Xenopus tropicalis: one gene and its partner. The protein of the gene in region 1 interacts with the protein of each later gene in a pairwise test. Links are inferred from orthologs where the notes say so. Each region holds a gene or a part of one and is shown on either strand. Other genes may lie near its edges. The genes, in order: erbb3 and ppm1b.

Evidence for each region.
Region 2: the proteins of erbb3 (region 1) and ppm1b interact in a two-hybrid assay, tested with the Homo sapiens proteins (2 studies listed by BioGRID and IntAct, with this or other methods). The link is inferred for Xenopus tropicalis from reciprocal best matches to the Homo sapiens genes ERBB3 and PPM1B.

Annotation. Positions count from the first base shown.
Region 1 is NC_030678.2:137,676,113-137,680,509, reverse strand, and holds the end of erbb3 (receptor tyrosine-protein kinase erbB-3), read left to right. Parts: intron 1-425; coding exon 426-1,006; 3' UTR 1,007-3,710; downstream 3,711-4,397. UniProt on the Homo sapiens protein: Tyrosine-protein kinase that plays an essential role as cell surface receptor for neuregulins.
Region 2 is NC_030681.2:18,672,457-18,676,279, forward strand, and holds part of ppm1b (protein phosphatase 1B), read left to right. Parts: intron 1-1,338; coding exon 1,339-1,450; intron 1,451-2,455; coding exon 2,456-2,513; intron 2,514-2,960; coding exon of another isoform or gene 2,961-2,969; exon of another isoform or gene 2,970-3,020; coding exon of another isoform or gene 3,021-3,254; exon of another isoform or gene 3,255-3,823.

The DNA of each region.
Region 1 (4,397 bases):
TTTAATTTCATTTACTCTCATTCACACTCTCATTTAAACCACTGCCTGCTCGTTAGGGTATATGGACTCTGGGCAACCAACCAACTGTAAATTACCTCAGAATATCACTATTTACATAATACTAAAAGTACTTTTGGTAAATTGTTTTCATTATATAAATAATGAAGGAGCAACAGTATGTATGAGGTAAAGTAATATACATTAGCTTGGGAATATGTAAACAGAGTAAAAAGTAAATGGCTAATAGAAAGACTGAGTTCTGGCCATTTTTACAGCTTGTACCCTTCCCTGGATAGTACAGCTCTGTAAGAGACAAACTAGCACAGAATTCTTAGGTGTCTAATAGGTTACAGCAGACTGCCTTTATTGGCTGTGGCCCCTGCGTATTTACACCATTCTCATTTCTATGCTTGCTTCACTCACAGAAATTTCACGGGATGGAACACTAACATCCCAAGGATCCAGATCCCTGACACCATGCCTGGTCAATGCCACTGATGAAGAGGATGAAGAGTATGAATACATGAACAAAAAGAAGCCCAGCTCAAAAGAGAAGCTAGAGTATGAATATATGGACATACGTGGAACAGGAGATGCAAGCAATGAATGCATAGCTTTCTCCCCTGCGGAGGGTGACAAAGAGGGAGACTATGAGTATGGAAACAAGGAGGACTACGAGTATATGAATGAAAAAGGGAAATACACAAGTAGGGAAAGCTTAGGAGATGGCGACCTGGAGGAGTACACTTATATGAACCGGAGTGGGAAAGTAAAGGATGAAACTAAAACTGAGGATAAACAGGGCTATGAAGATATGAACTTGGTTGCCAATCTGCCCCAGCAGTTGGAAAGGCCAACAGTAATTCCTCAGACCTGCCATAGAGAGGCATTGCAAAAAGGGTATCACCAGCCCCTTAGGGCTTTAGAAGCTAAAGACTGTGCATTTGACAATCCAGACTACTGGCACAGCCGGTTGTTTTCTAAGACTGACCTACAGATGACATAAGAACTGAAAATGCAATTGTAAAAAAACAAACTTCCCACTAAGTTCCAGGAGTGACTGAATGACCCCCGAGCTATCTTCTGCTCTCAAATGAGAAGCAACATGAATTCAGTTATGTGTGGTACGAAGAGCTGATCATCTGACCCCCTGCAATGTCCCAATGTTAGCTTATTCACACTTACAGTTTGGTCATTATGATACACAAAGGTGGTTGGGCCTGATTAAACCTGCATGCAAGTGAATCAAATCTCAACCCACCAGTCATGTGGCTTTAAAGCACTTTAAAGTCACTGAAAGTGACATTTTTTAGAGGATGCATTTTTAATGTTCGTTGCAAATTTGAATATGCAAATTAGGAGTTGTTTCAGTGCGTGGCTGAATCGTTTGGTGTTAGTCTGAACCCAATCATATTGGCTTGGGTATGTCCCTAGCTCTTTAGTGGGTGTTTGTTATACAACAGCAAGAACTCTGTGTCACTGGATAAATAGTGTCCCCAAACAAAACATAGCAATGATACAATATAATGTGTTTTTCTATTTATTACAATGGAAAGCAGACACACAACCACTAATGATTTGTCGAAGTGGAGACACACAGTAAGATGCTCCATTGCCCTAAAGAATTAGGAATCTTAGAACTGCAGCATATGGGCCTCTAAGGGGCATATTTATTATAGTGCCCATAGCAATCAATCAGCTCTTTCTTTTTGTTTTCTAACTTGTAAGGGACCGTTCAAATCCAATAGCTGATTGGTTGCTATGGGCAACATCACTGGTGATGTCAGCTTACACACTATAATAACTATTCCCCTTAGTGTTACGCTGTCATGAAGGGATAAAGCATGGATAGTCATGGCATTCTAATAAAGCTCGGAGACTTAGTGGGGAATCTAACTGCACTGATAAATAGTAGCGGTAATATAACCTGACACTGTAACACTTTTTTTAGAGGGATATTGTTAAAGGCATACTGTTGTCAGAAAACATACCTAAAAACAATACATAATATTAGGTAAAATAGTGTACATTAAAAAAAAATCACTTCTGAAAAAAATTTACTGTTTTGTGATGGTATGGCAAATTATGCATTTATATCCTGGTAGTCATGTGATGTTTTCGTTCCACTCTGGAAAAAAATGAGCTCTGAACAAATGAAATACTTTGAAATAAAATAATAACATAAATGAACAAAGCACTAGTAAAGGAAAAGCCCCATAATTCCCTTTCCCTGGCCACCATGTTGGAATCCACAGATTGCAGCATTAAATTAACTATTCAGTATAAAAATGAAATAGATAGGCTGTGCAGTTAGTTAGCCAAAAATGTACCCTATAAGGGCTGAGGTGAGCGGATAGCCAGAACACAACCCTTCTTTTGTCTCTCTAACCTGTTAGTAGTCAGTAACCAATAATTGACTTGGGGGTGGGGCATAGGTTTGTTTGCTTTTAAATCTGACCTGTGTGCTAAGGATCAGTTCTAACTGAACAGTTATGTCCCATGTGGCCCCCCCTAAAGTCACTGATTAACTACGAGGTTAGAGAGCTGAAAGCAGGTTCTATTAGGTAGTGTTCTGGCTATTATGCTGACACTCCATGTTGCTCACTCCAGTCTTTTTACACGTTTGGCTAGCTAACTTCTTTATTTCGCACAACATTTATTTACCCAAGTCAGCACTTTGCACACATGCTCTGACTGCCTTGTACTTCCCCTAGGTAGGGACACAAGGAGTGATCTAAGCCACAGATTCCTTAATTTATTTCATTCTGAAGGGCTGCAAAACGAGCTATGTAGCTCAGGCCTCAGGATATTCTAACATACAGTAGCCTCTGGGTGTGTGGGGATCTTCTTTATGACTTTTCTTTCCCTTTTACAAAAATATACAAAAGAAGTAAGGTGATGAAAGTATCACCACCTATTTATATTCTGGACCCAGAAGCAAACGTTTGCCCTTCTCTGCACGTTTAGTTTAGTATTCTCGTTTAACTCTCGTTAATTCTCGTTAATTCTTAGTATATAAACGTTTAGTATTCTCTGCAATACTATTCCAATGCCACAGCATCCTCTGTGCAGCCCTGGTTTATCATATGCGCCTTACAGAAATTCTTCACCTACTCCTGTACTGCCCATGTGCAAGTGCAGAGGATGCTGGGGACACCATTAGAGTAGCAGTGCAGAGAAGAAAAGGACCCTAGGCTGCTGCATTGGAAAAAGAGTAGTCCCAGCAGGGGGTCTGTAGTAAGCAAGTAGAATTACAGGGGGTTGCCTAACAACTTGGGACCCCCAGTGAATATGCCTTTTCTTGTAGAGGAGACTTCTACCTTGGATGCCGTTTAACAAGGTAACTTTGGCGTATGTAATCATCAAATGTAAAGGAAGGAACTGTTTTGTATACATAACCCTACCACATAGACAGTTGCCCTGTTCATGTATCCATGCCTACAGCCCTACCAGTTAATCTGTGCTTTTCTAATACTTTGTAAAATAGCTTTGATTGTTTGTTTCCAGAGTATATTTTTATATGTTATTTTTGTACAGCCCAACCGGGCAGCGAGGGGTATGCTGTAGGTATGTACAAAATTGCCTTTTGTTTTCTAAGATGGCTGGAGATCCTGGTGGAAAGCATGAACTTTGCAGCTGAACAAAGCCTCTCTCCCATGGGGCCAATGATGTACAGAGTTTGAAATTAAATGTTTTATATTTGTTTTATATTTGTAATTGTTTTCATTATCGTCGTAGTGACTTACCTCTGCCCTTTATCCCCTGCTTATGTTCAAAAAATGCTTCTGTCAGAAGGTTCACTGCAGCTCACACACTAACTTAGGGGGTGATGTAATAAAAGCACTAATTTTGCCCAGGAGCAGTAACCCATAGCAACCAATCAGCAGGAAGCATTTATTGGTCACCTGTTTATAAGCAATCACCTTATTGGTTTCTATTGGTTACTGCTCCTGGGCAAACTTAGCACTGTTTATTAAATATGGCGGGTTAATGCATAATAACTATGTATCTTAACCCCAGTACATAATCACTCAAACCTAATAGCAGTACTCACATACCCAGTCTCATTTACAGTCACAGCTAAAAATCACTACTGAGCCTGCATCAATGCTCATAATTGCTCCTAACAACTAGTGACAGTGCCAATGTTCCCATCTAGCATGTTCTTATGAATTATGTGCAAGTGCATATATTGCGCAAACTGGTCACAATTATGCTGGAACTCTGGGGAAAATTTTTTTCTAGATTGTGGGTCAAAAACAATGGCTACTTGCATCCAACAATTGCGCTTTGCACTGCTTTAATAAATGAGGCTGATATTAAGGAGCCTATTCATTAAAGTACGATTGAGTTTGAATGCTAAAAGTTTTAGAACTGTGCAGATTTTGTACTATATT
Region 2 (3,823 bases), on another chromosome or scaffold:
ACTGAAAGTATAATTTGTATTCTAATGCAGTTATTGGTTATTGGGATTTCCATGCATATGAATAACAGATGGCATTGGGGAATCCAGTGGGGAAACCATGCTTAAAGTGATCCAGCTGCCTTGCTTCTGTCAATAAAGTCTAATTACAGTTATGGCATAATAATAATAATGGATGATAATCCATAAACCCATTATCCAGAAAGTCCATCTCCCATAGACTCCATTATAATCAAATGATTTAGAATTTTTACAAATTATTTCCTTTTTCTCTACAGTAATAACAGTACAGTTAAGATACAATTAATCCTTATTGGAGGAAAATCTTATTGAGTTTATTTAATGTTTCAATGATTTTTAGCTGATTTAAGGTATGGAGATTTTACAAATTACAGAAAGATCCCCAGGTCCCAAGCATTCTGGATAACAGGCCCCATACCTGTAGATGCCTTTGCATTAGGGGCACAGAGCAAAGTTGTGACAAGCAGGGACATTGTTTACATTTGTCCTCAGCCAATCAGAACTTTTTGTAAGATGTAGAGACATGACAGGATCTGCTGTGCAGTTTTGTGAGTGAGTGCCAGCTGGTTTATTTAATTGATAATTATGAGGTCCTGGTAAATGAGTAAAGTATTACTATCTCTTTAAAAGGCAGACAGTCTTTTTACTATTCATGCCCCCCCCCCCCCCCAAACATATACGCTAAGCTATAAAAATAACTGTATACATAACTGTATTTTGCTCTGATGCTGTCTCGTTCCCTGTTGAAACAGATGCTGTCTGCAGCAACCTAAACTCATTGCTAATGATAAATAGCAGTTACTGTGGGGTCCCTGCTTTTCCTCCTGTTCAGTAAGACAGGAGGATTTCTGAATAAGGAATCCAGAGCCCAGAAGCAGAAAAAGTGGGGGTTGCATTTAGTAGTAGTAATGCATAGGATGTTTTAAAAAGATGGGGGTCACATAGTTGAAGACCTTTTTGTGTGAGGTCGGGCAACTGGTCTGGTCACCTGCTTCTTGGTAAATCGGTTAAGTAACAGAGATCCTTAGAATTTGTTGCCCGGGCATTTAGTAGCTCTGGTGAATGACAAAACTGACTTTCTTCACTTTGCTTGCAGTTGCCTGGCCCCATATGTGAAATCTTTCTGCTAGATTTCCATAAATAGCAGAAGAAACTAAACTAAAGATCAGCACTACATAAATTCGTATCATGTATAAATCATGTTAAAGTTAATGGTCCATGTACAATACATTGTCTGCCTCCATGTGTATATAACTTGTTCCTTGTGTAAGCCTGACACAAATACTGTGTAACTAACAATGTTGGAAATGTCTTATTTAGAAATCATGACCAACGCTGGGGAGGAAGGAATGCCAGATCTTGCCCATGTAATGCGCATCTTAGCTGCAGAGAACGTCCCGCATTTACCGCCAGGTGGAGGCTTGGCAGCAAAGTAAGTAACCTTTATTTTACAGCAGTCATCCTTACAAAAGAGATGTTCATAGTGTGTGAGTTCGGATATAGACATCATCTTGTTCTGTCTGGGCTGGACACCATTTGGCCCAGCCGCACCTTATGATTAGCTGATTATGCATTGAGTAGAAAGCGAGGAATCCAGGCAACTATGGCACTGCTGTTTTATAAATCAAGAAATTAAGAATAAGTAAACTTTTTTTTTTTTTTTTTAAATCTCTAAAATAACATACCTTCCTCCCTGCATTCAGATTTTTGTTTTTCTATAACGAGTAGCTGAACAGCAGCTCTTCTAGTGACTTCCGTGTCTAGCATGATGCTCCACCCTTCTTGCTTTCTGAACACCAGAGAGATTCCTACTGCTCGTGCCTGATTGTTTTTAATTGGAGCAGAGGCAGTGAGCATGCCCAGCATACCTCTCTGAGGCCTTCATAGATGGAGAGTGCAAAATGGGGCAGAGCTTCACACTAGGTAACAGTCAGTAGAAGATGTCGTTCAGCTGCTTGTAATAGAGAAACAAAAGCAAGTCTTTATGCAGGGAGAAAGGTACTTTGTCCTTCTTAGAAGCTGATGCTGTTAAATTAGGGTAATAAAACATGGGTAATTCTAAGTGTTTTGTAGCCTGAACTATTTTCCAGCTTGTTGGGTTGGGGACAGAAAGCTTGAAATCTCTTTTCTGTTCAGTCCTATGGGAGTTTCCTACACCCAGTAATATATTTTCACTTGATAATCGCCTAACCTGCTAGTGCCCTGCTTGGTGTGACTCTGAAAGGAATCGATGAGTGTACCTGTGTGTTAGGGCTCTTATAGACTAGAAGGGTAAGTATGGAAAAGGCAGGGGGTATTGCTAATAAAAGTTGTCAACAGCAATAAGACTTACTGTTCAGTTAGTTATTGATGTGGGTTGAACTCTGGGTCTAACTGTGGGAGAATATTAGAAAAATAGTTTTAGGCCAAGAATTAATCTTTTTTTTTTTCTTTTCAGACGCAGTGTTATTGAAGAGGTATATAATAGGTTGAATCCACACAGAGAGAGCGATGGGGTAAGTTGTGATGTTAGGCCCTACCCTTCTAATAGATATGCAGAGTTTGTTCCCAGTGCTTGGTGTTTGCCAGTGCATATTTATTTCATCACTTTTATTATTTGGTTATGGTTTTTTTTGTACTTGCACTATTAAATATTCTAAATATTAAAGGGGCATTGTCACGTATAGCTGTTGTGCAACCTTTTGTCATGAGCTTCTTTGTCATTTTGGTTGCACCAGGAACATTTTTAGGGGAAGTACAATTAGTTCAACATCCTATGACCATTAAAAGTAGTAAGTTTTATGATATTTTATGCAACATCTATAAATGGTTGGCTGGTAATTACTATAAACTGTTCTAATTTATTCTAAGAAGTGCTGGCTATTTGCAGAAGTAGGTTAATGAAGTCAATTTGCTTTGTTGCGTTTGTAACCTTGGTTTTTTTTTCTGCAATATTTCTTTAGAATGTGTAGAATTTTTTTTTGTCTTGCCTACTGACACTGGGGTCTTGAATCTTAAATAAGGACCCCACTGGAACAGAGGAAAATTCAACGCATGGGAAGTTGGTGGAAGCTCTCAGGGAACTGAGAATTAATCATAGGGGGAACTACCGTCAACTCCTGGAGGAGATGCTGTGTAGTTACAGGCTAGTTAAAGTTCAGGGTGAAGAATCCACATCTGGACCTTCAGTATCGTCCTCTTCCTCCAGTAAACCTGTGGATGACCCAATTACTCGAAGTAACCCAGAAATGGAGTAACATCTTTCACTTGATTTGATGTGCAGTCTGCATGATTTTTTTTTCTTTTTCAACTTTTACCCAATCCTGTTTTATCTATTGATCCACTAGGTATCAGATGCTGTGCTTCTTACCCAGCACCCCACCTCCACCAAACTAAGAGGCATTTTTTAATTACTTTGCACTCTCTTTTTGTAAAAAAAAATTGCCCCCAAACGGAAATTTACCACTCAAAACAGTTTTTTAACCAGAAACACTGTTTATATACAGCATGGAGACAAATCTTCCAAGACTGTAAAAAAATTTTTTATTTGTTTTTAGATAAATGTGTGAATGCCCATAACATTGTAAATCATGGGCCCTTACAACCTAGCTTTAGAAGGTTTGCTGATAATGTTACCAGAAAGGACAATTCTATGGACCGACAGAACTGCGGGTTTCTTATCTCTGCCATCGTTTGTCTTGACATCTGAAAACATGTAAACGGCTTTACAAAAATGGTCTTTTAAAAGTTGGTTTCTTTTGAGTCCAGCCTTGTGGATTACTTAAAAAACATATTTTCCACATACTAAGCTACCCATATTAGCTGG